2 linked regions of the Caenorhabditis elegans genome follow. The protein of the gene in region 1 interacts with the protein of each later gene in a pairwise test. Each region holds a gene or a part of one and is shown in the gene's direction. Other genes may lie near its edges. The genes, in order: spsp-1 and abu-15.

Region 1 (16,145 bases):
GAAGTGGATTTACATCATCATATCCGGTTTCCAGAAAATATTAAAAATATTTAGACTATTGATAGTGATTTAATAATTCAAAAGATAGTCTAGAGATGTGAAGGATATATTAAAAATGGAAGTAAAACTTAAAGATTTTCTACTGTGAGCATTTCTTGGAAAATTATTGTTTGAACAATAGTGTATTTTCGTGAGTTTTAATTTTTTATCGGGTGGTCGAGGGATGGTCAGATCTCCGTGGAATGCGTATGAGGAGCCTAAATAATATTTTTTTAAAAACAAGTAGAATGGAAATAATTGGACAACAATCTGTGAGGTCAGTCACCGATTTCCATTTCTATATACAACTTTTTATTAGCAAAACAGATTCTCGGGAGTTTTTTCAGGCGGACGTTTAAACTCATTGCATATTCTAAATACATTTTCTCGTGACAAAAACACAAAACAACACATCAGCTTTTCTTTTCCATCGGGATAAAATAGAGTCCCCATTCACTCTTTCGTGCCTTCAGTTTCCGCCATCAGATTTTTCTATTCTATTAGCTCTGTATATAGCTCTGCGCGTGAGTGTGCAAAAACCTTCACTTTCTCTCTCTCTCTCTCATCCAATTTCGTCTCATCTGATAACGTCTCCGAATCCAATCCATTAGTGGAAAAGGAAAAAAGTGGGCGGAGCTTCGACTTGTTTCGATTTGATTCGAATTAAACGTATGCACACATACTTTTACGGAGTTATCTACTGACACTATTTGCTCCTGTTTTATTCTGCTCCATTCAAATAAAAAACATCCAAAAATGCTTTTAACGACCCGTCCGAGATTCTTATTCCGCCAGCGATCCCATTCAGCATCGAGGTAGGCTTCTCCAAGTGATTGATGTTTTTTTTTTGCAAAATATGAAAGATGTGTGGTTGTATATGTATATGTGTACATCTTTATCTAAGATCTTTGTTTTTGGAACATTTGAGGGCCCTAGAGGTCGCTAGACTTTCTTTCCTATTTGCCATTTTGCTCAGTGTTGACGGACTTTTTTTTGCTTTTTTTCTCATGACGTCGACTTCTCTCTTCTCTTCTCATCATAATCATATGATGGGTAGAAGATAAATTCACACGTACGATTCTAGAATATGTATTGGAATTTTGGGAAATACTGGGAACCGAAACTTTTAAAAAATTGAATTTTAATAGTTCATAGTCTCATAGCTCATAGATAACATATTTCAAAAAAAAAATTCAAGACTCATTTCATTAATCTTTTAACCTTTCCTTTTACAACATGTTCCAGACTTAGAAAACCTTGTTTTCAGTGAAATGCAAGTAATGTTTTATTCAATTTAGTTTTCAATCAAAACATTCTATTTAAGCTTTCCTTTTTTCTCGTAGAACATAGAGAAAGGCGTGTCAACTGCATCAAATTGACTCGTTAACGAATGGACATATTACTTATTCCGACACTGCCTTATATTCTTGTTTTCTCATTCATAACTCAGTAATCTCGATTTCTTCTTCTTCTTCTTCACTTTCATTTATTACAACTATGATATTATTGAGATGGTATGGAACTTTGTTAAATATTAAATCTTATTTTTTCACTGCTCCAATTTTAACATCTCGGCTGCTTTCAAATTACTACTATTCATTCATTTTGCACTGTGGCAATTTTTTAATAAAATTAAAAACCGGCCGAGTTGCAGTCTACCTAAAAATCCGATGAAGTTCGGTGATTTTTTAAAATTCATCAAACACGGTTGTATTAAACTGAGATATTATAAGGAAATAATTATGTTTAAGTAATAAAAGTTTTGATTTTCAGTGTATCCGAAAAGGGCGCCTCGTTCAGTACACCACAGGCGAACAGGAAGAACAAGGTGAATGGAAACAGAAGGATGAGTGATTCTAACAATGTTGCATACAGTAACGGTTCGAAGGTTTGTTATGAGATATTATTACTTATAATTATTCTATTTCAGAAAGTCTTTGAAGGTGATATTGAGAAGTGGGAGCCAAATGTGTATGAAAAGGTAAGCACCGAACTGAACAATAGGAATTTTAAAAAAGTTGATTTTTGACAATTTGATTGGTCAGAGTAGTTTTAATTTTTTTTAAAACTTTTGGCCAGGGATGTGGGCCTGGAATAAGTTGTAGTGTGATAGCAAATAGAACTTTTAAAACAAATATGTATAAATTGTATGTGAACTAGGGTACATCCTAACCATTTCTTCAAAGCATTCAAGCTGTAAACTTTCAAATTAAAAAAAAACCAGTACTCACTTTAGAAGTACGTCTATTTATGGTTAAATCGAGAAGTAATTCTATAACTTTTGTTCAGTTTTTTCCATGAACAAAAGTTTTCAAAAATTAGAAGATCGAAAAGTCAATGTGCATAAAAAAGCAAAAAAAAAGAAGAAATAGTGAATAAGAGATGAATCTCTTCTTTCAGGAATTACTCCGACGCACGTGGTCAGATGAGTTTGACAATTTGTACGAGTTGGGATCAGCAATCTATTGTTACATTTTTGATCATAACCCAAATTGCAAACAATTATTCCCGTTCATTTCGAAATATCAGGGAGACGAGTGGAAAGAGTCAAAAGAATTCAGGTCGCAGGCTCTCAAATTTGTACAGGTTCGTTTTTTTAAAAAAAATAAATTAGCGAGTCTCTCGTGGTCAAACGCGTATTTAAAGGCTGATGGGTTTATTCGGTTGGGTCTCGCCGCGCGAAAAGTTTATGGTAGCAATTTTTGATTTTCGCGGCGAGACCCATCCAAAGAAATATGTGCTCTTTCGAGTACGTGTTTCAGAATTTTGCAAGATTACGATAAATTATAAATATTTGAAAGAACCATCGAAATTTTTAGACATTAGCTCAAGTGGTCAAAAATATTTATCATATGGAAAGGACGGAATCGTTTCTTTACATGGTCGGACAGAAGCATGTAAAATTTGCGGATCGAGGTTTCAAGCATGAATATTGGGATATTTTCCAGGTGAGACCCTAGTGATTTTGATTTTGGAAATTGTGTTTTTAAGGCAATTCGCCTGATCACTGTTAAGTAAACGTCTAGATGCTAATTTTCGCGCGAATTCGCCAGATCTTGCGCACACGGGTCTAGCCACGCGGAAATCAAGGTACTGCAACGCGCGTCGATTCTTGGGCATTTAATTTGATGCAATATCAGGCTGTAAATCGACACGAGTTACAGTAACTCGTTGTTCGCGTGGCGAGACCCATGCGCGTAAGATCTGCCGAAAATTATCATCTGCAGACGCCTACGTAATATAGATTTGAAAATAATTGATCGGAATAGTTGTTTCTAAATTTTGAATATCTTTCACAAATTTTTGACTATGAAATTCTGGTTTTTATGAATCGTTGAAATTTTATAAATTTTATTATTCAGGACGCTATGGAATTTGCATTAGAACACCGTCTCTCCATTATGACCGATTTAGACGATAATCAAAAAAGAGACGCAGTGACGGTGTGGAGGACATTGGCACTATATACAACTGTACACATGCGAAATGGGTTCATTGATGGTCTGAAAGGTGTCAATCGTTTTCCGCCTTTAGTGTAATGTTTTCAATTGTTCGCATAATCTTATCCGTAATTGCCTCCAATCTCTGTGATCGTTTTCTCTTCAATTTGATTCAACTTTAATAATAATATTTGCTTTAATTCTTTCGTTGTTTAGAGTTTTTCAATTTGAATTTACAATGGCGTGATGAAATCCAGCTAAACAGGGATTTTAATTTTTAATTCACAAAACTATTTGCCATTCACATTTTAACCTCATTTTTTGTAAATATTTGCATTAAAATATTTTCCAATTTCTAAACAATTGTTTAATTAACAATAAAAAATAAATATCAAAAGAAATACATTATACTCTGACCTAAACGAATTCAATATGAATACCAGTACCAGAATGTTATAACTATAATACAGAGATTAAAGGTGTTTGTTTAGTGGGCAGCTTCTTCGTCCTTCTTGAACTTTGCATACTGTTCCTCGTTAAGAAGTTTTTCCAGCTCGTCTGCTGACTTAACTTTCAATTTGTACAACCATCCCTTTTCGAATGGACTCTTGTTGATCAGACCGGCTTCTTCCTCCAATTTCACATTTTTCTGGGTTACAGTTCCAGAGATTGGTGCATAAATGTCAGAAGCGGCTTTCACACTCTCAACAGCTCCAGTTGAGTCTCCTTTTGAAATTTCAGTTCCCTCATCCGGCAGCTCAATGAAGACGACATCTCCGAGTTGTTCCTGGAAACTAAAAATATGCAAATTGAACATATTGAAAAATACTAACCGTTGCAAAGTCCGTAATTCCAACGGTTCCAACACCGTTCTCTACGAGCACCCATTCATGTTTCTTCGTGTATAGACGACCTAAAATCAAAAAATTCGATGTTATACTTTTTTTCCGAATTTAAATTAATAAAATACTTTGAAAATTAAATTTTTTTAGTATTTCTTACTGCTTGATCTTGAACAATCTTTGATTTGGCAAAAATTAGATGATTTTCAGAAAATGAAAGAAAAAATACGTACCAGATGAGGCCAATCTGACAGCGGAACGAAGAGATGGAACAGCACGACAAAGTTGGTTCATACCTGAAAACAAAAATAGTTGTATGGAAAATGTCAAAGAAAAAAGAAGAATTTTAGAGTAGTGAAAAAGAAAAGTATCGGGTCGGACGAATGCGTTATCAGTAGTAGATAAAGGCAATATAAACTGCAAAATAAAGACAAATAGGATAGATGGAAAGATAGAGAAGTTTAGTAGGTATGAGATGATCAGAGGGCAATGATTGTCTTGGAGTTTTTTTTGAAAATTTAATGTGTTTATGTGATTTAATAAACAAAACTTAAATATGAACAAAAGGATCATATTTGTAAAGATGTTGGAAGGAAGATTATAAAATTGAACACTCGTATTAAATTCAGAGGCGTTAGATTCGAAGAGAGTGAAAATATATTTTCATGACCTTCATGGAAATGTTTTCATTTTTGAGACAATGTTTCGTTTCCAAAACAATTTTGTTTCACTTATTCTCACTCTATGTTAATTAACCTTTATTCTCTTCAGAATTTCTTTTCAGGATTTTGAGGGTAGCCCATTCAATAAAGTTCCTAACAATATATTTAGACTTTTTTTTCAAAAACCCACAACTTACTCACTTTATAAATCTTTCAAGAAGCCAGTTTGAAATGACTTTTCCGTGATCGGTTTAGAGCTTTTTTTTGCTCAAAAATGCTCAAATTGAAAAACAAACACGTAAAAACCGGTAAATGTGCAAACACGCCGACGAGATTTCACAGAAGATGCATACGAGTTGGCGACAATTTAACCAATAAGCGAGTTCGATTCTTTGGTTCCGCGTCCAATTCTTGTGAGTTTCTATATTATCTATTTAAAGGTAAATCATTTTATTTACTTGAATCAAAACCAAATTATCTATGAATTGCATTAATTCCTCGGAATTCGTAGTTTTCCCACCTGAAAAATTCAATTTCCCAGAATAAATATTTCTTCTGAATATCAAATTGCAATAAACTCTCGTTTTCAAAAGAGCAGCCACAGGTGCTTTATTGCGTCTCCACCCCGTCTATTGTGCTATTATTTTCATCCACCCATTCAAAACATTTTATCAATGCTGTAAAGCAAAAAGCACACAAACATTCGGACGATCGTCGTCTAGTCATCGTGTTTCCACCTGTAATTAATATTAAACTATTCCTAATTTCCGTTTAAAACATACATATTCATCTGGAAAATGAGTGGTGGTAAGGGGAGCTTTCGGCATAAATTCAATGAAAAACTAAAGTTATCCGATCAAAATAGAATAGAAATCCACTAATCCCTTTTATCCGAGGCGATTAAATTTGAAACAAAAACGTTTCGAAGCAAAAAAAAAAATATTTTCGAAATCATCATAAAATGTTTTCAGAGAATTGGATCCGTCCGAGTTCTCGGAAGTTTTCACTCGGAGTAACTCCGCGAGCACTTTCACGAATCGACGCCACATCGACTCCATCTCTAGACGTCCCTCAAAAGGTGAGAACATAGGAATATGAGTCAGCAGAAAGAATATTATATTGAATCCTGGTCCTTTTGTAAATAAATATCGGCTATAAAGAGGATGGGAATCAAGTTTTTGGAAAAAAAAGAAACATTTTCCTTATTTCTTGTAAAATCAATCCCCTCCGCGATTGTCTAAAATGCATCGAAATTTGCACAAAAAGGTGATTTTCAATATAAAGACAAAAATTATAGTATTTCAATTTTGGAATCGTTGAAATTTAATTAAATTTGCAGGCCACAAATCGTCGATTCTCGTTAGCCGCGACCTTCTTTGACGCCGCCAAAGCAGATAGAAAAACTTCACTTTGTGTTGGTAGGTTATTAGAATTTCGCCCAGTTTTATTTCAAAAACTAAAAAGACAAAAGTGCAAGATAAAATCTAAAAATTAAGAGAAAACTTCATTACAGTGAGAACCACTAACTGAAAAAAGACAGATTTTTCTATCCAAAAAAAAATGAGAAAGTCTCTTAATTTTCCCCATTTGCCACTTTATGACCTAAACAGTGCCACGTCATCGTCTAAATCAAACAGCGTCCTCTGTGCTTAACTCTTATCACTTTTTTATGGCATGTGCACTCCTCCCTCTATGCACCACTTAGTTTCAAGCATTTTTCTTACCATATTATCATTCTTTTCCCTAGCTATTCTTATTGTTTTTGGATCAAGTCATGTCCGACTCTAAACTAAGAAACACGGTTTCTATGAAATTCAAAAACAAACCCAAAAAATATCTGAAAGCGGCTGCTCCGATATCACAATCAATGGCTGCTCTCGACTTGGAAACCAATGTGAATTGGAGAAGAGATATGAGTATTGATGAAGAAAATGGTGCTTTTTTAAAAAAATATTTCCTGAAAAATGAATTAATCTATGTTTCTGCCATACTTTACAGATTTTTAAAATTCAAAACATAATAGGCATCAATCTACCAAAAATTCATTAAATGATTAACAAGAAACTTTCAGAAAAAGATTATCTGAATCATCAAGGCCGTTACCGTACAGTCGCTGATCCTGACTTGGAGCGTCCATTATTTGTGGAACGATCGGAAGAAAAAGGTGTTCGAACCTTCCGAAGCGATTCAATCAAACCGGCTAGAAGCCGGCGAATGGGGAGAGCAATGCGGGTGGTTGTAGTTGGAGGAAAAAAAGTCGGAAAGACAGCTATTCTGCGGCAAGTCGCATGTGTTGAGGATGTTACGAATAAGGTTCGAAGATTAAAAATAATTATTTCGGTTTCTAAATTTCTAATTTTCAGCCATATGAACCAACGATCGAAGACACATATCAAGTTCTTTTGGAAGAACCGGACAAAGCTCGAGAGATTCTTATATTGCACGATACGGCAGGAGTTTCAAATTACGGACCGATTGAACTGAAGAAGGCATATGTACAAGCTGCAGACGCATTTGTTCTTGTGTATTCATCTGCTGATTACGAATCGTTTAACAGAGTTGATTTGCTGAAAAAATGGATAGACAGACAATTTGGAAAAGATAAGAAAGAAGTTCCAATCGTAGTCCTTGCCAATATGCGAGATCGACCGGCGACAGTTGACAGTGCTTTTGCACATAGTTGGGCTGCACGAGAAAAAGTTAAACTATTCGAGGTTACTGCAAAGGACCGGCAGAGCCTAGTCGATTTCATTCATTATGTAGGACATCGACATTTCCATCCAACCAGTAAGTTTTGAAAAATACTTTACTTTGCAATCTACCCAAAAAGCTATAACTGTTTTTTTTATTTTTGAAAGATTAAAAAAATTATCGTTTCTTTTTCAGAAGAATCGAAATTCTCGCTCTCAAAGAAGCTGAAATCAGAAAAATCTTCAAATCCAGCAATCTTGATGGACTTTTGACCCCAAACTTCTTATTCTTCTAATATTCTTTGTGATAACCAAAAACTGTGATTTCACTTTTCTCTGGCCATAATTATCAAGCTCCTTCTCTGTGCCTTCATCCTCCCATTTCTTATTTGGTTTTCTTTGCATAATTTTTCATCACATTATAGGCACCCAAAATATAATTTAATCAGTATTCTCGGTCAGCAAACTTTTTCTTATGTACGTCTAATTATGCTTCTTTTTGTGCATTATTCACCAAAACAGAAAAACTTTTCAAAATCAGGTTGCAGGTTCATTTTTTGTATATGATAATAATAAAATGAATGAATAAAACAGTTATAATAATAACTTTACCTGAGAAAGAAGAGGGAGCAAACAATAGATAAACATGTTAGACAGAATACTTTGTGAAATTATGGTGTACTGTTGAAAAGACTTAAATCTTCTGCGGTGCAGCGAATCCGTAATTGGTTTCTGGAATAAATATATGTATAAGGGAGACATTTGAAAAACTAACCTGAATAAGCCAAATCTCTTGGACTTGAAGTGAGAGTTGGAGCGGTCTGCAACTAGTGGGATATTAGAATAAGTACAATATTTATCAAAAACCAACCGGTTCAAGGCCAGCGTCTGAGCAATATTTCTTGAAAAGAGCACCGATGACTTCTTCAGTTTTCAAAAATCCATTCGTATCCATCATGAAATAAATTAAAAGAATTCCGTCGGCACACAGGTACTTGTGAACAAAGTTGTAGCGGTGATCATGAATATTACTGTCGAATGGCTCTCGTTCCAATGATTTTTTGATCAATTTGTAGATCATCACCTCGTTGAGCTTCTTACTTTTGATACGAAGAATCCACTTAACAGTTCCAATTACCGAGAGCGCGGTGAGCTGAAAATATTCTTGAAAATCGTGGCCAATAGGAGAAAAAACGTACCACAAGAAGCCAAAAGTAAAGCCCAATGAAAATTTTCTCGTTAATCACATTCATCGGAATAATGCATTGAGCTTTATGATTCACAAAGTTGCTAACTGATTCTTGCAACTGATATTCACATCCCACAAGAATTGGGAAGTACTGGAAACGATTGTAACTGCCGTCTGTGAGAATTGCCGCGAATCTTTGTTTGTCGGAAAACGAGGAGAACTCGGGAGCACGTGGAGTTGGGTGAATGAATTTGCCGAGAAGCTGAAAATAGAAAAAAGACATACTTTTATTATCAGTGTCATTCAATTTATATCAAAAACTTGCTCAACTCACATCAAAACCCCAAGTCCACGAATCAACGTCCAAGAATTTGCAAACCAAGTTCACTTGAATAATCACATTAGTTATGAAAAATAACTTTGTGAGACTGTACAAGACACTGGGAAAAGCTGAGTTAAATGTGATCCACGATAGATATCCCATTTTGTGGGCACGACGGAACTTGAAGTGATCATGCATATAATTCACAATTCGATCCACTTTTTCCTTCGTCTTTTCAAACGTTTTCTCGCTGTTGATTTTTCCAGAGTAATCCACAATGAAAGCCATGTCAATGTCTGAAAGATTAAAAATTTATATTACTCTACAGAAGAATAACTCGTACAAATAAGCTTTTGCATGTATGCCCAGCACCAGAAAGGAAGAAGAAAGCAGCATACTTGAAATGCAAAGAAGAAAGGAACCCATTGATAATAGTTGACAGATGCATCTTCAGTGTAACTTCCAAATTCAGACGTTCCATTGCTCACGTCGTATCGGAAAGTTCCATAGAAAAGACAGAAATTGTGAATGTAGTCGCGCCACGATTTCAGATCTGAAAATTGAGATTAATTTATGAAAATTAACGCTATTGAAACCATCATGTTGCTTCGGGAGCATGCAATCGATTGGATTTCCGAAATGTTGTTTAGCACCAGTGAGTAGAACAAAGAATCCGAGAAGATAAACTGTGAAAAGGTGAAGTCGATCGTAAAATTCGTAGAGCTTCGCCGCTTTGAACGGTTTGGTGATGAAATCGCCGATAATCGGGATCTCCCAAATCATTTTGCGAATAGAACTGAAATACACAGAAAATTAATTATTTGAAACTATTAAAACCTAACAAATATAATGCTTACGATAGGCGAAAATCCTCGAAAAAATGAGTTGCTGGTGAGTAAAGTGCGCAAAATTAGAAACTCCCGGCTACCGTACCCTGATATATTTAAAGGCGCGTGTTTTTAATCCGGCTATAGGTCCGGCGCGCTACTAAAGTTTTCAGGCCTGGAAAATCTTTCAGAGTTCTCGAATTGGAATAAAAATCAAATACTTGAAAAAAAAGTTATTTAGAAATAATATTTTCGTGACCTTGGCCTTTGAAATTATCTTTTTGGAATATCGATGAGGAAAACGAATCGAAAAACAAAAGAAAATCAGTACTCGAAACTAAAACTTTTTGCAAGCTCGAATATTTCGATTCAATAGACAACAACCATCGATGGCCAAGTCTAACTCGAACAATAGCCACAATGAGGTAAGTAGTTTTTTCTGTCCGGGCATGAAACTTTCTAACAACTTTGAAAATTATAAATATTACAGGCAGATACTCTCTCATCACTTCTCTCTTCAGTTGGTAGTTCTTATGATGGAGAATCTGATTCTACATTCGTGTCAACTGGAACTACTCCATCATCAAGCCGTCGTTCTCGTCTTGATTCGTTCCTTTCAACTACTAGTTCCAGTAAATCAAGACCAAGAATTAAAAGCAAGCTTCCTCGTAGCTCGTCGTCTGGATTCTCGGGAACAGGATCTGAAAGATCTATTTCAAGCAAAAGATCGAAAATTGGAAACACTTCTGGGAACCGTAACAAGATTTCGCAAAGTGCTAGAAGAAGACTTTTGCAAGCTGAAATTGAGAGTCGACGCAATAGATCCAACAAATCACCAGGTTCCAGTCGTAAAAGCATTCTGAAGAAATCTCCGATGAAAAAAAGAAGATCTCTTTCGAGAAAATCTTTACCAAAGAAGGAGCATATTCCTCCAGTTCAAAAGTTTGCAATTATCAAGAATCCAGCTGCTCGTAATCAAGGTGAGCCCTGAGATTGTTTTGAAAGTTCACATAATTGATCATATTTCAGTTCGTGGATTTGTTGCTGAATACGCACAAGATCCAGAATTTGAAGCTTTTGAGCTTTTGGTTGACGGAATTCCATTTGTTGCTCTCTCTCTGATGAATGCTCATCCAGATCTTCGTGGAAGATTCAAACCTGTTCCACCACCAACACCGATGAAGAAGCATACTCCAGGTAGTTTTATCTTGAATCACCTTTAACTCATTTACTCATTTCAAGGTATCAATAGCCCACGAAAACGTCCTTTGCGTCGTGAATCTATTTCTTCCGTTAACTCGAAAAGTGTTCGTTTCACTGATGAGGGATCTTCTTTTTCGAAAAGAGCTAGAAAATCTTCATCCGGAGATGTCGATTCATCGATTCGTGAGCTTGGAGAGACAGTATCGGATGCCATGAGTACGATTTTTGAGTCATTGTAATAAAAAACTATTTTTTTTTGCAGTTGACACTGGTCGCCAGTACAATGATTTGTGGAAGGATCGTGCACATAGTGTTGAAAAATGATTGATCTCTGTAATGATATCACCTGATTGATTTTCTAGAGAATAAAATGATGATTTGAATATGTTTAAGTAATTTGAGATTAATTCTTTATTTGGTCCCATTGGCCGTTGACGTTCTAAAAAATCGATTCCTTTCGCCCTGAAGACGCTTTTAAAAATATGAACGATAGAACCGCTAGAGCTAGTTGATAATTTTAAAACTAAGTTTTCAAATTTAGAGAGGTAACAGCTTATAATTTTAATTTTTTTAAAACAAATAACAATGAATTACAGCAAGTAGGAAATGTCCGAAATTATTTCAATGGTGTGAACAGTTTTTCAAAACATCTGAAGATTTTGTACACTTTTAATAGTTCAGTAAAATTGGGAAATCAACTCAAAACTTTGATTGATAGTTAGAACAATTTTCAAATTTCAAACTGTTTTGTTTAACCATTTAAACATTTTTACTACATCTAAAGTTTATACTGACAAACTCCCCCTGACGCCCACTCTTCGCCTCGACCGTGTAGAATTTCTATTGTAGCTACGATAGGTTCTTAACCATCAATTTTTATGAATCATTAAAAAAAAAAATAAATCTCCACGAATCTCTGGAGTATAGTTCGACCCATACGATCAGTGCAAACTCTTTGAGCATTCACCTGAAGCTGCATCTAACGTGTTTTCTGCCATTGATAACCAGGGCATTTCAATGTACGACAATATAGTTAGCTGCTGATAATAAAGAATTCGTCTGATAAGCCACGTAAACCATATAGACAGCATATTTACATGCTTTCTGACTCTGTTTTAAATCGATTTTTGATAATTTCAATTGGTTTATATGTTTCTTTTTTTTTTTCAGAAAATGGGTTTTCGGATACGGATAAATAAACTAGATGTATTCTTAGTTGTTATTGCAATTGTGTTTATTGTGTTTGGAATTGTTACTTGGGCGGCATTCTCTTCAATTTACAGTACTCTGGTCATAAAGGTATTCCCGTGAAAAGTGAAGTTAATTCCTAAACTTGCATGATATCAGAACCTACAACTAACTGAAAATTCTGATACCAGTCTAGGATATTCTGCATTTCAATATACAAGTCCTCAAGTGGATAATATAATGAAATTCTACTTTTTTAATGTTACAAATCCAGACGAAGTGAAATACTATTCTGCTGCACCAAATTTGGTAGAAATTGGTCCATTTTCTGTAATGTAAGTTGAATTTTCCTCATAGATATGTTAATTAAATTCCGAATTTGAAGGGAAAGTGAGCAGAAAAAATATCTGGAATTCAGTGATGATAAATCACAAATGTTTTATCAAAATTACAAAAAGTATATTTTATCAAAAGATTATTCGTGTGAAGATTGTGACTGGGACAGAAATATTGTTTTTCCGAATCCACCAGGATTGGTGAGTTTTGATAGATTAGCGGGCGAGTGCACGTGGCGCCTCAACTTGATTTCATGTCTGTTTTCAGGGGGCTGTTGCTTCAATGTTAGATCCACAATTCCAAATCACAAAAACGGGAAGAACAATTATTGCAGTGGCTTTAACAATTCTTGGTGAATATCCATTTGTGTAAGTTTTTCACCGAATTTAACTTATTTTAAAATAAGTTTGCAGTTCTCATAAAGTTCGTGAAGTTCTGTTTGACGGTTACGAGGATGCTTTACTGTCCGCTGCTCATTCAGGGGTAACTTTTTAACTTAAAAAAAGTAGCTGTAAATCTAATTTTTAGTTCGTGACAGTTTTATCAGGAATATTCAAAGGAGATGGTGGAAGTATCGTTCCAATTCCGATTCCAGCTATGCCGAAATTTGGATATTTTCAAGGGGTTTGTAGATTCTTTTGAAAGCTAATTTCTGATCGGGAACTATATTTCGAATTGAGAATATATCTTCAGTATAACAACTCAAGAGATGAGGAATATTGGATTGAAACGGGAAAGAAAGATATAAACCAAATAGGAAATGTTCAGCGATGGGCTGGAATTACAGAACTTCCTGGGGAATGGTGGACTACTCCAAAGGCTAGAAGTATTCGTGGAAGTGGTGAGTTGACCATTATCTCGCATTGAATTGAATTGAATTTATTGAACTTTAATGCAATTTATTTTAAACACATTCAAAAGGAAAGTATTTTAAGATTCTGGAAGTTTCACTCAAATGCACTTGGACGAGTCATCAACTGCTGATATGTTCTTTTCATTCATGTGCCGATCATTCACAAAAACCTTTTACCAGAGGGAAACGATTGAGTCAATTCCAACAATTGGGTGTGTTAGTTGTCACAAAACAAATAAATAATCCTCTTTTCACAGTTATCATATTGGGTACGACGAATGGGACACCACATCTGATAACAATGTGGGCTTCCGTTATCGAAATATTGAAAAGAGAAACTATTTTCCTGACTGGCCAAAATGTCCACCGTAAGTTTTTTTTCGAATAATTTTTACTCTCTTAATTTGCAGCAAAAATTTTGGAGTTTTTCTGAAAAAAAAGCTGATAAGTTTTTGTCTGAAATTTGATTTAAGATTTCCTGAAAGATTGAGATTTTTTCTGAACGAATAGTATTACCGGTACAGAGAGTGTAGATAGTTAGAGAGTGACAGACATCCGGGACCCAATGGGGCGGGGATCGATCGAAATGATTGATTGAAAATATGATTTAATTCAACAATACATAATAGTGAAAAAGAGAAACTTCAATTATAAATTTTTGATTTTCAGAAAAGGTCAATGTCATCAATCAGGCTCTATTGATTGTTCAAAGTCAATTAATTTCTGTCATGCATGTTGTGATGGTTCCCTATATAATGGAACATACCTTCTACCACCTGGAATGTTTCCACTTGTATGCTATCCAGGAAGACTTCAACCAACACCATTTGCCGTTGTTTATTCTCCTCCTCATTTCCTGTTCTCTCCAGATGAAGTACGGACTACTGTAGTTGGAATGGCTCCCAATAAAAGCCTACATGAGCCAATGATTTATTACCATGAACCTGTGAGTTCAGTTTAAATTGGACATTGAAGTTTGGAAATAATTGTTTTTTAGTATAGTGGAACAACATTAAAAGTTGTAAATCGTCTTCAAGTGAATATGCCAGTCATTCGATCTCATGATGTTCCGTAAGTTAAATACAATTCAATTTTAAAAAATTCAAACTATTTTCAGAAGTAGTCAAAATATGCCAAATGTTATGATTCCACTGTTCTGGCAGGATACATCACCGAAATATCACCAATTCATTTTTAATGAAGTATGGCTCGGATTTGTATTAGTGCCTCGATTGATGAGGGTTCTACAATTTGTGGCTCTTGGAATTGGCCTTCTTCTGGTGGCGATTATAGTTTTTCTTCAATTAAGAAAAGGAAAACCGTCTTTGATTAGACCTTTGAAAACAAGTTTCTTAGAAACGACAAGTAATTGGTTATCTTCGACATCTTCTTCCAATTCAAATGAAAGTAGAGGATTAAGGAGAATGTGATTTTATTTGTTTTTCAATGTACTTTTGCAATAAAATAAATTTTAATGTGTTCTAAAAATTGTTGATAAAAGTTGAAGCTTGTTAAACTTTACTGATAGTTATGATAATGTAGTTATTGTTGTACGGGAACTTTGTAGATCTTTGCATTTGCGTAAACAGCAATTGATTTGCTATTAGGGTCATACTGTACATTGCAAATTGGCTGAGAAAGTCCTTCCCATTCTGTAGTTCTTCCTTGAATATATGTGTGACTATAAAAGTCATAGACAGGTGTCACAGTTCCATCACACTCTACAGAGTATAAAATTGCACATCTGACGAACGCATTACACATTGTTGAAGTGTCAATTGAAGGAAGTGTCCAATTAGAAACTATCTGAAATAACAATGTTTTGCTTTTTGAGAGAAGCGCATTTATGCGGATGGCTTTCGCCGAGAAACTTTTTTTTAAACTGATGTTGTGCTCTAATCATACAGAAGTAAAACTGTGAATTTAAAAAAAAATTATTCTTTGCACTGCAGATATTCTCTTCATTTAACTCCGAGGAAAATGTAAAACGTTTTTTCAAAGACTACAGCATGATGTACAGGAGATGTAATACGCGAAACAATAGAGAACGCAGAGAATAACGTACTTGCATGGTGTGGAAGTTTATTCGACTGACTGTAAGAACCGTCTCGTCCTGTCTTCTGTAGAGCACCCATATTCCATGTTCTTCTGCCTGTACGTCAAGCCGAGATGTAGAATTTGCGTAGAGAGGTTTCTAAACATTTGAAATTAAGAATACCCATAGCGATTATGGTCAGTACCAAAGAAGTTCTCAAAGGTATATAGTTCGATTTTTCAGTTTTCAAATTGTATGAAATCAATCGATCGTTCTCGCTGTAGTACATTGTGTTGTTGTAGACCATATTATCGGTTCCTGAAAATATAGTTTGAGACGTTTTTGGAATGGGTCTTCTAAATTTGCCAAACGGGACTTTAAAAATAGACTGAAAATGAAGTCTATGGATGTTTGAATCTTAATTCAGATTAAAAAAATCTAAATTTATTAAAAATATTTCGGTTCAGGCGAGAGCGGAGACCGAATTTTTTAAAGTGAAAAACTGAAAAAATTTACAGT
Region 2 (16,170 bases), on another chromosome or scaffold:
ACTTCAGAATGCTCAGTCTTACGATTGGTCACACCTGAATTGGTGGAACTCTGAGGACAGTCTTTTGAAACGTGCCCGACTACTTTACACTTGTAACAATACGGAGATCTGTAGTTTCCTTTTCTCGAATCCTTCTTCTTGTCATCTGCATCAACTTGGTTTACTTCGAATTTCGGATGTTTGGCGGGAGTTGCTGTGATGACTTTGGATTGCTGCTGCGTTTGGATGTAACGGATCCATTCGTCATGGACGTCGGATAACTTGAGTTTTTCATCTTTTCGCTCAAACTGTTCGCAATATTGCATCAAATAACGCTTTGCTAGGGCGTCCTCCGGCGCATCCATTCCACGTAAGAAGATAAAGATCGACCAATCATCTGTCGACATATTCGAGAGTTTCGCATCGAGAACTGCCTCACCAACGAGGTTCGTATACTCGAGCGGATCCATAGACGCTCCAGAGGCTCGACTGATAAGGAGACAACTCTGGCGTCTAATCATCAGACTACGCTGAGAACCGAAAGACTTGCTAAGAGCTTTGATAGTGTCTTCGAAAGGAACGCTATAGATATCCTCAACATCACGTTGTGAATCTACAAATCGTTGAAACGTCGATTCCTCGAGGCAAGCTACCAACATGCGATTTCTTTCGCGATTTGAGAGCTCAGCGCCATCTTCGGTAAATGTGAGCTTGTGCCGAGCAGGGCTGGGACTTTTTCGAAATCTCATTTTCGAGACCGAAAACGAAAATTTTCGTTTTAAAACACGAAAACAAAAACGAAAACGAAAATGGCACTGTTTCAAATCTACAACTGGGCTTACAGTTTTTAGACCATATGTTGCCTCAAAAGCTTTTTTGGTGGCAAGTACTCATTTACCTCTCTCTCTCATTGACTTACTTTGCTCATTAAAGGTGGAGTAGTGCCAGTGGGGGAGTTGTTAAAAACCACTCCATAGGTCTCAAAATGACCAAATATCATGATAAAACTTTTCAAAAATTTTTTGAACAATTTTTATTTACTGTCAAAAAGTGGCAATTACTCAGTTTTTGCCACTCATAATTTTGGAAGTCGACCAAAAAAAATTTTTTTTTCGACATTTTTTATGTTTTAATTTTGTTTAAATTCGTAGGGGTCAAAATATGCGACATTTCTTTAAATTTTCTCAAAAGCTCGTATTTTTCAAAATTTTTATTCGAAAACTTTTCACAAACTACCTTATATTCTCTATTAGTGCTTATAGGCCATAGAACTTAAAGCCCTTTTCGAACATAAGGATTCTACTGCAACTCTATTTTTCATCTGAAATTGTGTTTTGAACTTTTGAATTGAAGAAACAACAAGCTTTAATTTTTCAAAAATCATCAAAAATTTATTAGATACTGTGGAAATATGTTTTACTTGTTGCTTGAATGAATTTTTAGCCAAATACGGTGCATTCAATAAGAGAGCCCAACATTGGAGCTCAGAACAAAGAAACGTCCTGTCTTAAAATGAATGAATCTATTGTTACGCAAAAGAGTATTTTAATTGTTATCCAAAACTGAAAACTGTTGCCTTTTTTGTTTTTAAAGTTGAAATTCAGTACTGAGTCTTAGAAGAAAATAATTGATTTTTCAATACTATCCACACCGGAGAGCAAAATTTCGGCGAAAGTTCGAAAGAAAGTGGAAAAAATACCAGAATTAAATAAAGTCGTTTTATTTTCGTTTTTCGAACATTTTCGAAAACGAAAACGAAAAAATTCGTTTTCGTCAAAACCCCGAAAATAACGAAAAAACGAAAACGCGAAAACGAAAAAGTCCCAGCCCTGGTGCCGAGCCCACCACTTCGTGAAGGAATCTGGTTCCGACACATCAAAATGGTACTTGGGTAACTGACGCAACAAGTCACTCATAAGTTTTACGCTATTTAGCGGTTTTTCACCCCCAGCCACGAATCTAGGCTGATCCCCTTGCGCCGCGCGCAGCCGCTTATTCTCTTCCAGCAACGCCTGCGACATCTCCATCTGTTGCTTCAGCAACGCCGATCGGATTTTATTGTCCTCCATGACCTGCTGAGAAATCTCAGTCTGAGTTTGGAGTTGGGCTTGCATAGTTGTGAGCGTCTCAGCAAGCAAATTTGCGTTAGCGGATGATTTACCTGACGATTCCATTGTCCTGGTGTGATTTCGATATTCCTGATCGCCACTGTTGTGTATTGAGCGAGTGACAAGGAGAGAAGAAGTTTATTACAAGAGAGTGTAAGAAGTAATGAATTATAAAGAGAGGTCGCTTACGCGATAAGTTCATGATGACCCAAAGGTCACGTCTGTATAAAGTTCAGGTTTACGTTCCGTCCACAACACTTCTATTGATCTATAAAGATTTTCAGGTACTTTTTTCTATGCAAACAACAACCCATCAATTTTGTTCTAATTGCAGATGAATCGGTAAGAAAAATAGATGCAGGCTTTTTAATAAAGATTTTTTGAGGTTTTTACTTTAGATTTTCTAATAATTTAAACCGAAAAAATATTGTTTTTTTCCTCAGCTTCAGTGATCACCTGTTTTCATTGTAACTCGTTGTAAATCAATGAACAGAAAATTAAAAACTGAATGCCAGTAATGGAAAAATAAATAGAACAATTTTCAAACATTTTCCCTACTTTGACTGCTCCACCTTTAAGCACGTGTCCCTCCCAGGCCGCTGCAATGTTGTTGCGTAGTTTTCTATTAAAAACATTCAAACTAAAACTCAATTATTCATTGGCGTTGAAGGTTTTGGTTTCTCATCATGTTTTTTCCAACAGGTGAAATGATTATATGGCGGTTGAGACAATTCACTTCTCATTTCCACGGTGCAAAACCTAAGCCTAAATTTTCTTATTAATGTGTCTTTGGAGAAACTCTTCTTATGAATTTGAATCCTTTGCACCATCAATTTTACATCGTCTTGCGGTATTCGAATTGCCGATTCATCTACTCTCTGCTTATGTGGTTTTGTATAAAACCCCTTCTAGAATGGGCTCGGTCAAATGGATGATGTTTACGATGCATATATGGTTAGTGTACCCCAGGCTTCTGAATGAAATTTACATCACTCGAGAGGAGCATTTTGAACTACATAGAAAAAAGTAGATATTTTTGATAGCAAAAATTGTAATTTTGGGTATCCTTCGAATCAACCGAACAATTTTCAATTTAAAAATTGATTTTGCATGTGAGAAGTGAAAGTGATCACTCACATAAGTAAATCCCGTAGGCATATGTTTCTGCGGTACATGTAATATGTTCTCTGATCGGGGACACGTCAATGCAAACTTCCAGAACCTGACACTTTGTAATTGGAAAATGATTTGAAATTGCAGTTCCTGATAAACCTGATAAACTATAAATTGGATTCCTAAGTTTTAATCAGATTTTTTAACATTCTTGCTTCTTTCAATCAGAAAATGAGTATCCTCAATGGGGTAAATACTGAATCTCAAAATTGATATAAAGCAAAATTAAATAGAACTAAAATTTTTCAGCGGAGCCTACCTTGACCTATTCCTAAGTGCTCTTTCTACTCAGTTTTTCCTTCTCCCGGCGGCTGCTGGACATTCTCAAGGAGTCTATACTCACCTAGGAATGCCCGTAAGATGGCAAGCCTATATGTTCATTTCTGCAATTTGTCTTGCTGGTGTTTCGATTCTTGGATTTTTTGAAAACCGTTACGCTGCACTTGTAAAAGGACGCGGCGCTAGTTTAATTCAGGAAAAACAACGTTTGGCATATATTGGTGGACATTATATTTATGCATTCATTTTTATTCTGCCAATCACGTTTACACCGCCTGATCAGACATATGGAAAGCAATATGTAAAACAGGTATCTTTAATGCTTGAGGGTAATTTGTAAACGTCGGATTCCCGCACATTTTGGTACGGAAATTTCAAAGAAAAGGTTTTAAAAGTTTTTGAAGATAAAGTTTCATTACACTAATGAACATTTATTAAAGCTAGAATTTACTGAAATTGGTCAAATCTCGCTGCAAGTGCCAGCTTTCTTTTTACATGTAGAACCCTAAAATAAAATAGACCATTGAAACATATTTTGAAATAATTTTATTAAAAAATCTTTAACTATTTATAAGCAGCTTTCAGATGCTTCCGTGTCTGCCTCAAGAAATATTTGATCATCCGGATTTTTACGTGTACGCCATAGAAATCACTCTACTCACTTTCATTATCGGCTCTGCGGCATTTGTGATAACTGGTGAAGTTATATTTTATTTTACGAGAATTGTTGTATATTTGTCCAGCACAAAAGCTAAATCACAGAAAACGTATAAGCTTCAATTGCACTTTTTTATTTGTTTAACTATTCAAATTACAATTCCACTTTTAATAGTAATTGTTCCGATTGTTTATATTGTTTTTGCATTTGCAAATAGTCATTTTGATCAAAGTAAGTACACCTATATTTTCACACATTGGTTCACAAGATACAATTTCAGTTCTCAACAACATTTCGCTCAACATAATGGCTTTTCATGGACTCATTTCAAGTGCAGTTATGCTTACCATTCATAAACCTTATCGTAAAGCTGTTTTGAAAATGCTTGGTTTCACCTATATAAAAACGAAAGTCAATAGAAGCGCAGTACACATGGATGGAACATTTGTTGTTGTGAGTAACAATAGGTTTTAATGGTATGCTTGAAATTTTGTTGGGTATCTATTTAAAATAATCTTTTGAAAGTGAAAAGTTTTGAAATAAACTGTTATATCGTCTGTTTCACTGGGTACACCTGAGATGTTTTACATAGAAGTCGGGACAGTTGCCCAAAAGTTGCTGGTTGTCGAAAGATTAAGTGTTTGACAACAACAGAAAATGCCGGCTGCTAAAAATTTTGAGGTTCAGCACCTGCGACAACTACCGAAATCAGTTTCTAATATTTTTTGTTCTGAAAAACGCATTCAGAGATCCTAAAAGTAACGCATTTACTTGATCCACGGAAACACCAATGCCCCATCTAAAAAAAGAAAATAAAAATGTACGTCAAACTTGCTTCGCCGCTACTTCCAGAACTATAACGCAAATCTAATTTGTTCTTATTTCTTTGACACAACTTATTATTGAGAAAGAGAAGGTGGTGTAATGCTGTCACAATGTTATAATTCAAGCTCTATATAATTATCTTCCACGTGATTGAGGAAATAAATTCAAACATCAAGGTTGGCCTGTCGTGGTTCAGAGAACAAATTTTGATTGTTTTGTTCGGTCAAAAAGTATTATCCCAGAAAGCTTAAAAATTGGGGCAAATGTAACTTGGTTTTTTATTTGAAAACAATTGTACGACTTGTATTAACCAATATAAAAGGAAAAGCAGAAAATCTGCCCATTGTCGAATTTGTTTTTGCTAACTGAACTCAGACTTGAACCCACTTTTTCCGATTAACTCTTATGATTATAATAGTGTTAGGCTCTTATTCCAACAGATCGAAACACCAAGAAAACGGGTAATTCTGGAATGAAAAAAAAAACTTCAGACTATGAAAATGATCAGAATTAAATCATGAGTAACATAAAATACTGGGAATCCGGCTGGTCTGATTTCTTGGAACTCAATGTGTTCGTATCAATTTTATTTTAAAAATATACAAATAGTGAAGTTTGAAAGAAAACCCGTGCTGTTCTGGAAATAAATATTGTTATTTTTCAAGCAATCAACAAGCAAATTGTCAAAAAAGAATAATTAAATATTAGCTTAAAATAACACAATTAACGAAGTGAATTAATTGTAGTGGCTTTTGACCTCACAGCGCTCACGACCATGACTGTGGGCCGCGTTGAACTAATTTTTCTGCGAATTTCCGAATTGAAGATCAGTGTGAATATTCTGAATATTAATATTTTAAAAATTTAAATATTTTTAACGGGGATATACCCATCGAAACAATGAACTGATGACCATAAAATTGAAGAGAATATAAATGTGAATTGCTTTTCTGGGATAAGTCGTGGTCCCCATGTGAAACAGCAAACAATGACAAGAACAAATAAAGTTTGGCTGAGGGACTGGAATTTTCAATAAATATATTTTTTAGTTTATGAAAACAGTTTTTGTGAATACCTGCTTTAATAAACTCAACTCTTTCGAGTTTTTGTCGGATTTCGACCGCATTTTCACCACTTTCCCAATTGCAGTGAAATCCAAAAGTGTGCTGGTAATGGTTAGAGTGAAAACTTGATAAAAATCCCCATAAGTTCCATACAAACTACAAATTGCCCCACCGGAATATTGAAATGCTCGGTATTCTGCGTTGTAGTAATTCTGGCAGCCCACTGAAAAGATGACTTGGTTTTTTTAATTGATAATATGAAAACTTACAAATTTGAAAGAACAAAGTGATAAGTATAAACGAAAGTAAGTAGGTAGCCATAACAATTAGTTTGGTAAATGTTATACTGAACATTTTATGATAAAGAACTGGAGTAAATACTGCTAGAAATCTGTTTAATGATATTATAAAATGAAAATATGTCGAAGCATCATAGCATATCATCAAAAAGTACCCACATAGATGGGACCAATAGTCCAGGAATTCGTTTTGGCTGAAAATGTGTAGGAATACTGTAGACTGGAGTACTGTAGGGTTACTGTAGTTTTGAAAAAAATGAGTTTTTGTTTTTTGAAGGAATATCGATATGGGGTTTTTGGAGTGTCGTCGAGTAGCAAAAAACATTTCAGCGGGATTTTTTCAATTTTTCAAATAATTTTGGCGGGAAACTTAATTTTCTTTGAGAAACTACCGCACTACTATGTAGATATACGGAACTTCTATAAAATTCGAGACATTTCTGTAAGATTGCCCAAAAGGCAATTTAACTGGATTATATGTATACATTTTCAAATTAAATTTTTTTGGAAAAACCAAAAAAAATACCTATTCAATTTTGCCCGACATATTGTTTTATTCAAAAACTTACAAAAACACCATAGGAGTTGCGTAAAACAAGTATAAAGTTGAAAATACTCCATCGGCAATTGCCAAACCAACAGTTAAAATAGCAAATGGTTTTTGCAATTTTGTAACCTTTATCATTAATATTACGATCGCCCAATTTGTGAAAAACCCGCATGAAGAAAACTGAAAAAAATATTGCTAAGTTGGAGAAAAAAAGTTCGAATTTCAGCTCACCACAATCATAATTGCAGCAACTATTTTTTCCGAGATCATATTTCGAAACAGAAAACAAGTATCCTAGACCAATAGATATTTTGACCTCAATCCACTTCTATTTATTGGGTGGAGTCAGTGCCACACCTGCCATTTAACGAGTACCTGCAATGAACCGAGCTCTGAGTTGATTAAATAGAAGTGCATGACAGAGTGAGGTAGAGATGTTTTGATTTTTCAATCGGTTAAGGTTTGTATTGGAGATTTTTTCGTAGACATATTATTTAAGCTGTTAAAAAAAATTTAATAAAATTCATGTTGTTCAGAGAAAATTCCTAATGTACGTATTACTCATCGTTTATTATACCCCTAACAGAACAATTAACTACCACCCTTTCTTGTTTACGTGTAATCGTCTCCCCACACAGTTTAAATATTCTCTAGTTTTTTGTTTGGTTTCACACACAAGAAACAATTCAGAAAGAATTAAAAATGGATGTTTCAAAAATACTGTTTTATATATACTATAGATTTGGGAAGGATGCAAGTTTGAATTCCCTTCCAATTAATTTCCTTCCACTCATTTTTGAACCAATCAACTTGACACAGTTTATCTGATTGGCTCCAGAAGAGTGGGAGGAACGAATCACTGATTGGCCTTACTGTTTTCATTTTGGGGGAAATTCAAACTGGGAGTTCATTCATACTCAAATTTAAATTGGAAGTCTAATATGAAAATATTAAACTTCCGTGGTGATAAAAACAGAAATCCTTTTTGTGCTCCATATAATTAAAATTTAATAAACTAGCTGGCAAATAAGTGGCGCAATTACCAGATTTTTTGCTTTGATTTTTGCATTTTCTATTCATTTTTGGTTATCTTATAAAACTATACATTGATGTACAATTTATCTAAGGAAAAGGAACAAAACCATTGGAGCACGCACAAAGTACCATATTTACGATTTTTTTTGATTTTTTTCCACTTTGATGATTTTCTTGCAGCTTGTTCTTAGAAGATGGGAACAAATGTGACTTTGATCATGCAAATCATAAATTTAAAATGTACATATTTTTTCTTTACAAGCACATGTTCTGAACCAAAATTCATGATATAAAAATAACTCAGTTCCTAAAACCCTAGACAATGACAATTGGCTTGAGCATTACAATTCCACTAACAAAGACCTCTATTCTTAATCCAATGCAGCCGATTTCGATCTAACAACGTTGAATGCCAGTGGCTGGCCGCTTCTGGAACAGCTCCTTCGGATTTCTGGATTGAAAATCAATGTGAAAAACCTAAATTAGAACTTTTTGAGTATTTAGAATATTTACAATTACCCATCAAACATATGCACTGAAGACCAGAGAATAGAAGAGAAAATAAAGGTGTAATCAATGTCTGGAATAAAACGCGGACCCCAAGTAAAACTACAAACGATTGCAAGAACAAATAGAGTTTGGCTTATGGACTGAAATTATTATTTAAAACAATCTATAAAGATCAATATTACCTGTTTCAACAAGCTAAGTTCTTTTGAGTGCTTTTCTGTTTTTGAGCTAATTTTTAACACTTTTCCGATAGCTAAAAAGTCCAAAATAGTACTGGAAATAGTCAATGAAAAAACAAGATAAAAGTCTAAATAAGTTGCATAAAAACGACAAACGTCTCCTCCAGAATAACGAAATGCTCTTGTTTCTTGGTCATAAAAATTTTGACATCCCACTGCAACTCTCCCGTCAATTTTAGTTGACATTAAACTAACCTACAAATTTGAAAAAATAGTGTTATGATTGTAAGTGCGTAGGAATAAATTCCCATTACTATACAAAACGTGAACAAAACACTAAACATCATACGATAAAGCATTGGTTTATACACTGCTAGAATTCTGTTAAGGGATATCATGAAATGAAAAGTTGTTGAAGCACTGTAGCAAATCATAAGAACATATCCACAAACACTCGAATAATTTGATAAAATATCGCTCTCGCTGAATGGAATTTTTATTTTAACTGTTGGCCTCGCTGAATGAAAAAAAAAACTTGTTCAACTTACAAAAATACCATTGGAGTTGCATAGAATAAGTAGAGCGCGGAAAATGTTCCATCAGCAATCGCTAGACCAACAGTTAAAATTGCAAATGGTTTTTGCAACTTTGTAACTTTTATCATTATAATCACAATTGCCCAATTTATTGTAAATCCACAGAGGGAAAACTGAAGGTACATCAATTTGTTTGAGCTACAATAAAATCTTACCAAAAGCATAATTGCAGAGATTGTTGTCACGGAAATCATGATTGTAATTTGCAGCCAACAGGAAATGAAAAAGTTAATGTTATGAATGAGAGAGAAATATCTGGAAAAATTGAAACTTTCTTGTCAGGCTCGAGTCACCTGGGCCGGTGGCGTTCAGCTACAATACAAACATAGTTTCTTTCACATTTCGCATAGATACAATTTATTTTTAAAAAATCCGTTAGGCTATTAACTAAATGTTTTTATACCTAATTTTTTAAACTTTGAAATGTGTTTCAAAGTGAGTTCAAAACTAAAATTTCAAACTCTAGAGATCCCGGAAGCTAGGAAATCCCAGAAGCGAGGCAGCAACCACTGTAGCTCTATACAATCAAATCGAAAAAATGTTCGGGTCTGAAAACCAACTTATGTCATGCATGACAAATCATGTAAATTAAATTAGAGTCGAAATTTGTCGTTCTTACATGTCTACGTGTCTATGTGGTTCATTGATTCTTTTGATTTTCGATTAGCTAGAACGGTTCAAAAATTTAAACAAAATTAAAAGATAAATCTTATAAAAATAGATTGCTTATCGCTGTTTGCCCTTGAAAACTAGTTCTCATGTGCGAACCTTGCGTGAACAAGGTCATAGAGCAAACTCAAACAAGACCTCTCTTCTTTGCTTGCGCAATACTACAATTTATTCCTGTATTAGCTCGGAGTTTTTTAGTGACTCGATAGCTTACTTGAAGCTTTAGGCGAACGCTTTTGCGCGCGGCCGCAAGAGAGAGTCACATTTAGAAGAGGATCAGGAAATTAGGAACTGGAACCGGTTTACTGAGCAGCTGGAAAAGTCATATAAAAGAGAAGAACAGAGCTTCATTACCATCCGATTTCCTCGGTTCGAATCATTATTAAAATGCGCTTTACTTCACTTTCTATTGCGTTCCTTGCATGTGCCCTTGTGGTATCTGGAAGTGCAATCCGTGAAAAGAGACAGTGTGGATGTGCTCAGCCACAGCAGAGCCAATGCTCGTGCCAACAAGTTCAACAGACTCAGTCATGCTCGTGCCAATCTGCTCCAGTTCAACAACAATCCCCATCCTGCTCATGCGCTCAGCCACAACAAACTCAACAAGTTCAGGTACAGTTCATTAACATATTCGCAAACCATTAAATCAAAAATTTTAGGTTCAATCTACTCAATGCGCCCCAGCTTGCCAACAGAGCTGCCAACAGCAATGCCAGGCTTCTCCATCAGTGTCCCAGTGCCAGCCACAATGTCAGCAACAGTGCCAGGCTCAATGCACTCCAATGTACAACCCACCAACCACTACTACCACCACCCAAGCTCCAGTTGTCCAATACCAACAGTGCCAACCAGTATGCCAACAGCAATGTCAATCTACCTGTGTTCAACAACAACAACCAGCAGCTCAATGTCAGCCACAATGCCAACAACAATGCAATGTTGCCTGTGATTCCCCATCCACTACCACCCAGGCCCCACAAGTGATCCAAATCCAACTCGAGATCCAACAAGCTCAAGCTCAATGCCAACCACAGTGCCAGCAACAATGCCAATCTTCATGTGTCCAGCAACAGCAACAATCCAACCAGTGCGAGCCAGCTTGCAACACTCAATGCTCTGATATCTGCCAACAAACTGCTCAGGCTACCCAACAAGTCTACAACCAGAACATGAACCAGAACACCAACACTCAAATGTACAACCCATACAATACCAACACCAACCAGAACGCTAACTGCGCTCCAGCTTGCCAACCAGCCTGCGACAACTCCTGCACTTCCCAGCAGACTCAGCCAATGTACCAACCATACGACACCACCACTGAAGCTCCAGCTCAAGTCATCCAGATTGTTCTCCAGACTTCTGTTGCTCAATCATCCCAATGTGCCCCACAATGCGAACAATCCTGCCAACAGCAATGTGTTCAGCAACAACAGCCAGCTGCCCAGTGCCAAACTGCCTGCCAATCATCATGCTCTAACTCATGCCAAGCTGCTCAACCAGCAACTACTGCCTGCCAGCAGAGCCCACAACAGAGCTCCTGCTCTTGCCAAGCTAACTACTCTCCATGCGGAAATGGACAATGCTGCCGCAGAAAGTAATTTAATTGTTCCTGATTCTTGATTTTTGTATATACCGAAACAATTCAGTTTCAATAAACGCATAACTTTTTAAACCTTCTCGCTTTAAAAATCTGACGTGACATAAAAATAACCAGAATAAACCAGTTGTTTTCGAAACACAACATGTTTATTTAAAAACTGTTAGCGTCTCTTCTTCGACTACATTTTTAGAAAATCTCATAAACATTTGTTCAGTTGGCATTGATACAGGTTTACGTATGTTCTATCTATTTCTGTACTCATTGAAAAATGCTCTCATCAAAGAAATATTTATAGAAAAGTTAGATTTACAAGAATTTTCTAGCTCGCCAGCAGGAGTTTAGAAACTAGAGATTAAAAAAAAAAAGCTCACTGATGAAGTATTTTAAATTCAATTTAGTTTCAAATCGTTTAGGTTCACGACTTTACGTGTTTCACTACCACACTGTTCCTTCATTACGAAAAATGTAATACGACCTTAGAAGTTAAAATTTATTTTAGCTTACAATTAAAATTGCTACATACTTTTTCTGATAATACTTGCGAGTGATAACTTTATAGCGATATATCAAAAATGTTTTCCATTTTCATTAAAATTAGTTTTACTTTTTTAGACAATCTGGTATCTTGATATGCAATACTCGTTACATTATTATTTCAGGCATTCACTTTAATAATATTTCACTGTTTCCGATAGTAATGATTATGCTAGTTTGTGAACCACTTTTCATTATACAGTGAAAACTTTGAGATTCTGGAAGACACTTTTTAAAAAGTTATGCGTTTATTGAAACTGAATTGTTTCGGTATATACAAAAATCAAGAATCAGGAACAATTAAATTACTTTCTGCGGCAGCATTGTCCATTTCCGCATGGAGAGTAGTTAGCTTGGCAGGAGCAGGAGCTCTGTTGTGGGCTCTGTTGGCAGGCAGTAGTTGCTGGTTGAGCAGTTTGGCAGGAGTTAGAGCATGATGATTGGCAGGCAGTTTGGCACTGGGCAGCTGGCTGTTGTTGTTGAACACATTGCTGTTGGCAGGACTGTTCGCATTGTGGAGCACATTGGGATGATTGAGCAACAGAAGTCTGGAGAACAATCTGGATGACTTGAGCTGGAGCTTCAGTGGTGGTGTCGTATTGTTGGTACATTGGTTGAGTCTGCTGGGAAGTGCAGGAGTTGTCACAGGCTGGTTGGCAAGCTGGAGCGCAGTTAGCGTTCTGGCTGGTGTTGGTATTGTATGGGTTGTACATTTGGGTGTTGGTGTTCTGGTTCATGTTCTGGTTGTAGACTTGTTGGGTAGCCTGAGCAGTTTGTTGGCAGATATCAGAGCATTGAGTGTTGCAAGCTGGCTCGCACTGGTTGGACTGTTGCTGTTGCTGGACACATGAAGATTGGCATTGTTGCTGGCACTGTGGTTGGCATTGAGCTTGAGCTTGTTGGATCTCGAGTTGGATTTGGATCACTTGTGGTGCCTGGGTGGTAGTGGATGGGGAATCACAGGCAACATTGCATTGTTGTTGGCATTGTGGCTGACATTGAGCTGCTGGTTGTTGTTGTTGAACACAGGTAGATTGACATTGCTGTTGGCATACTGGTTGGCACTGTTGGTATTGGACAACTGGAGCTTGGGTGGTGGTAGTAGTGGTTGGTGGGTTGTACATTGGAGTGCATTGAGCCTGGCACTGTTGCTGACATTGTGGCTGGCACTGGGACACGGATGGAGAAGCCTGGCATTGCTGTTGGCAGCTCTGTTGGCAAGCTGGGGCGCATTGAGTAGATTGAACCTAAAATCATTAATTTAGTAGTGTTTGAAATAAATGCATAAAAGGTACCTGAACTTGTTGAGTTTGTTGTGGCTGAGCGCATGAGCAGGATGGGGATTGTTGTTGAACTGGAGCAGATTGGCACGAGCATGACTGAGTCTGTTGAACTTGTTGGCACGAGCATTGGCTCTGCTGTGGCTGAGCACATCCACACTGTCTCTTTTCACGGATCGCACTTCCAGATACCGCAAGGGCACATGCAAGGAAGGCAATGGCAAGTGAAGTAAAGCGCATTTTAGTAATGATTCGAACCGAGAAAATCGGATGATAATGAAGCTCTGTTCTTCTCTTTTATACTACTTTCCCATACCCCCACCCTCTGTACCAGACCTGAAACTTCTTGATTTCCGCTCTTCCGTTCACTTTTCGTCTATGTGTCTCTCATTCTCTTTCCGGCCAAACTGTTTGCCTTATAAAAAAGTGTTCGTGTAAAAAAAGGTGCGGTGAGCATTAGAATAAACTCTCTAATCAAACAAACGTGTGTCGAGGAAAAAGGTGAAAACTGGTATGTTGCAAATTGGAAACTTTAATTTTGGAATGTGATGTTCCTTGATCTACATTATGTTACGGAATCGTTTATCTGAAGTGAATTTTTAACGCTGTTTTGTTTTCTTAAAGTTTCGGAAATATTTTATTTTAGGTTTTATTCAGCTTGCGGCCTTCCTTCAAATCTATACTGCTATGGAAATTTTGAAATTATTGTATCTTTTTTTATTCTATCGGTGGCGAACTATACCTCTTTTTATTTAAAATTTACAAATGACTGGTTATGAAGTTGAGACAAGTGAGCGTTTAGTTTCTAACTGACAACTTGTTATATCGTGCTGCAATTTGACAGCTTGGGAAGAATGTAGACAACAAATGTGTTATTTGCCAAATTTGAGAAAATACGTGTTCTAGAAAAATAATTTTCGATTTGAAAAATACTTAAATTATTTTGAAATTTTAGTTTCTCATTTTAATTTGGTTGAACATAATTTGTTATCCTCTCTTGTTCTTATTTGTATGCAATTTCTGAAATTTGAAATTTGGAAAGTTTAAACGTAATGCAACTTTAATAAATACGCTATCAAATTATTTCCCGGAAGATTAATATGTTTATCAGGTTGATAGGGCGTTCGATGAATATGACACAAAAAATGTTTAGTTGTATCTGCTAGAAACTGTTTCAGAAGATATTTGTCAGTCTCATTATTTGTTAAACTCGAAATTTCTCTGATTACTGTAGAACCTTTCAACAGTAAACTCGTATAAGCTTGTATGAACGAATTAAACTCGTTTTAAAAATAGTATCGTGAAAGTGTTCACCATATCTCTCCAGCTGATCGGCGTAACTTTTTGATCTATTCGTAATATTTGTTTGCCCCGTCGGCAATTGTGCAAAGATCATTTTCCCACCCGAAAAGAGGCTCTTCACGCTTACGAGCTGTTTCTGCGCCCACTCCAACTGATCAAAACTAGAGAACAATAGATTAATCATCACGTTTTCTGATTTCTGTTTATTCGATTACGTGTAAAGTATGTATATCATTAATTTGAAGAACAAAACATTCGAATTAGATTGGTACAGGTCTATCAACATTTTTTTGTCTATTATTGTATACTGTAGAATAATTGAAAATGATTTATTTATCATATAGTCAAAGAAAAAATGGTGTTCGAAATATACAAAAAAGATTTTGAGCAACAATGGACTATTGATACCCATAAATCTTCGATCGATCGATTCGGTCTTTCTTACTTTCTGCGGCAGCATTGTCCATTTCCGCATGGAGAGTAGTTAGCTTGGCAGGAGCAGGAGCTCTGTTGTGGGCTCTGTTGGCAGGCAGTAGTTGCTGGTTGAGCAGTTTGGCAGGAGTTAGAGCATGATGATTGGCAGGCAGTTTGGCACTGAGCAGCTGGCTGTTGTTGCTGAACACATTGCTGTTGGCAGGACTGTTCGCATTGTGGAGCACATTGGGATGATTGAGCAACAGAAGTCTGGAGAACAATCTGGATGACTTGAGCTGGAGCTTCAGTGGTGGTGTCGTATGGTTGGTACATTGGTTGAGTCTGCTGGGATGTGCAGGAGTTGTCACAAGCTGGTTGGCAAGCTGGAGCGCAGTTGGCAGATCCTTGGTTGTTGTATGGATCGTACATTGGAGCGGCAGTGGTTTGCTGGACTTGGTAAGTTGGCTGGGCTTGTTGGTACACTGGCTGGGCCTGTTGGGATGTGCAGGAGTTGTCGCAGGCTGGTTGGCAAGCTGGAGCGCAGTTAGCGTTCTGGTTGGTGTTGGTATTGTATGGGTTGTACATTTGGGTGTTGGTGTTCTGGTTCATGTTCTGGTTGTAGACTTGTTGGGTAGCCTGAGCAGTTTGTTGGCAGATATCAGAACATTGAGTGTTGCAGGCTGGCTCACATTGGGTCGATGGCTGTTGTTGCTGGACACATGAGGACTGGCATTGTTGCTGGCACTGTGGTTGGCATTGAGCTTGAGCTTGTTGGATCTCAAGTTGAATTTGAATCACTTGTGGGGCCTGGGTGGTGGTGGATGGGGAATCACAGGCAACATTGCATTGTTGTTGGCATTGTGGCTGACATTGAGCTGCTGGTTGTTGTTGTTGAACACAGGTAGATTGACATTGCTGTTGGCATACTGGTTGGCACTGTTGGTATTGGACAACTGGAGCTTGGGTGGTGGTAGTAGTGGTTGGTGGGTTGTACATTGGAGTGCATTGAGCCTGGCACTGTTGCTGACATTGTGGCTGGCACTGGGACACTGATGGAGAAGCCTGGCATTGCTGTTGGCAGCTCTGTTGGCAAGCTGGGGCGCATTGAGTAGA

What was found.
Region 2: the proteins of spsp-1 (region 1) and abu-15 interact in a two-hybrid assay, tested with the Caenorhabditis elegans proteins (one large-scale study listed by BioGRID).

Annotation. Positions count from the first base shown.
Region 1 is NC_003279.8:7,342,107-7,358,251, forward strand, and holds spsp-1 (uncharacterized protein), read left to right. Parts: upstream 1-10,308; 5' UTR 10,309-10,400; coding exon 10,401-10,436; intron 10,437-10,501; coding exon 10,502-10,991; intron 10,992-11,040; coding exon 11,041-11,208; intron 11,209-11,253; coding exon 11,254-11,430; intron 11,431-11,476; coding exon 11,477-11,538; 3' UTR 11,539-11,597; downstream 11,598-16,145. Other genes in the region: glb-18 (Globin domain-containing protein), read left to right, coding at 1,813-1,927, 1,970-2,020, 2,440-2,625, 2,859-2,987, 3,402-3,578; gcsh-2 (Glycine cleavage system H protein), read right to left, coding at 3,967-4,266, 4,313-4,392, 4,555-4,615; kbrl-1 (NF-kappa-B inhibitor-interacting Ras-like protein), read left to right, coding at 5,258-5,423, 5,955-6,061, 6,323-6,401, 7,055-7,296, 7,347-7,770, 7,870-7,946; inx-14 (Innexin-14), read right to left, coding at 8,368-8,405, 8,449-8,500, 8,545-8,826, 8,873-9,124, 9,197-9,480, 9,528-9,737, 9,781-9,967; scav-6 (SCAVenger receptor (CD36 family) related), read left to right, coding at 12,388-12,513, 12,562-12,737, 12,788-12,938, 13,006-13,106, 13,152-13,221, 13,267-13,362, 13,432-13,579, 13,674-13,803 and 4 more; F07A5.4 (Olfactomedin-like domain-containing protein), read right to left, coding at 15,134-15,397, 15,657-15,785, 15,832-15,944.
Region 2 is NC_003283.11:5,148,312-5,164,481, forward strand, and holds abu-15 (Activated in Blocked Unfolded protein response), read left to right. Parts: upstream 1-10,290; 5' UTR 10,291-10,311; coding exon 10,312-10,536; intron 10,537-10,583; coding exon 10,584-11,525; 3' UTR 11,526-11,596; downstream 11,597-16,170. Other genes in the region: srh-130 (Serpentine Receptor, class H), read left to right, coding at 2,869-3,041, 3,510-3,849, 4,125-4,428, 4,478-4,671; srx-38 (G-protein coupled receptors family 1 profile domain-containing protein), read right to left, coding at 5,746-5,863, 5,912-6,042, 6,098-6,309, 6,356-6,579, 6,955-7,115, 7,167-7,205; srx-39 (G-protein coupled receptors family 1 profile domain-containing protein), read right to left, coding at 8,342-8,447, 8,490-8,620, 8,663-8,874, 8,919-9,142, 9,208-9,368, 9,411-9,449; abu-6 (Activated in Blocked Unfolded protein response), read right to left, coding at 12,367-13,308, 13,357-13,581; abu-7 (Activated in Blocked Unfolded protein response), read right to left, coding at 15,085-16,170.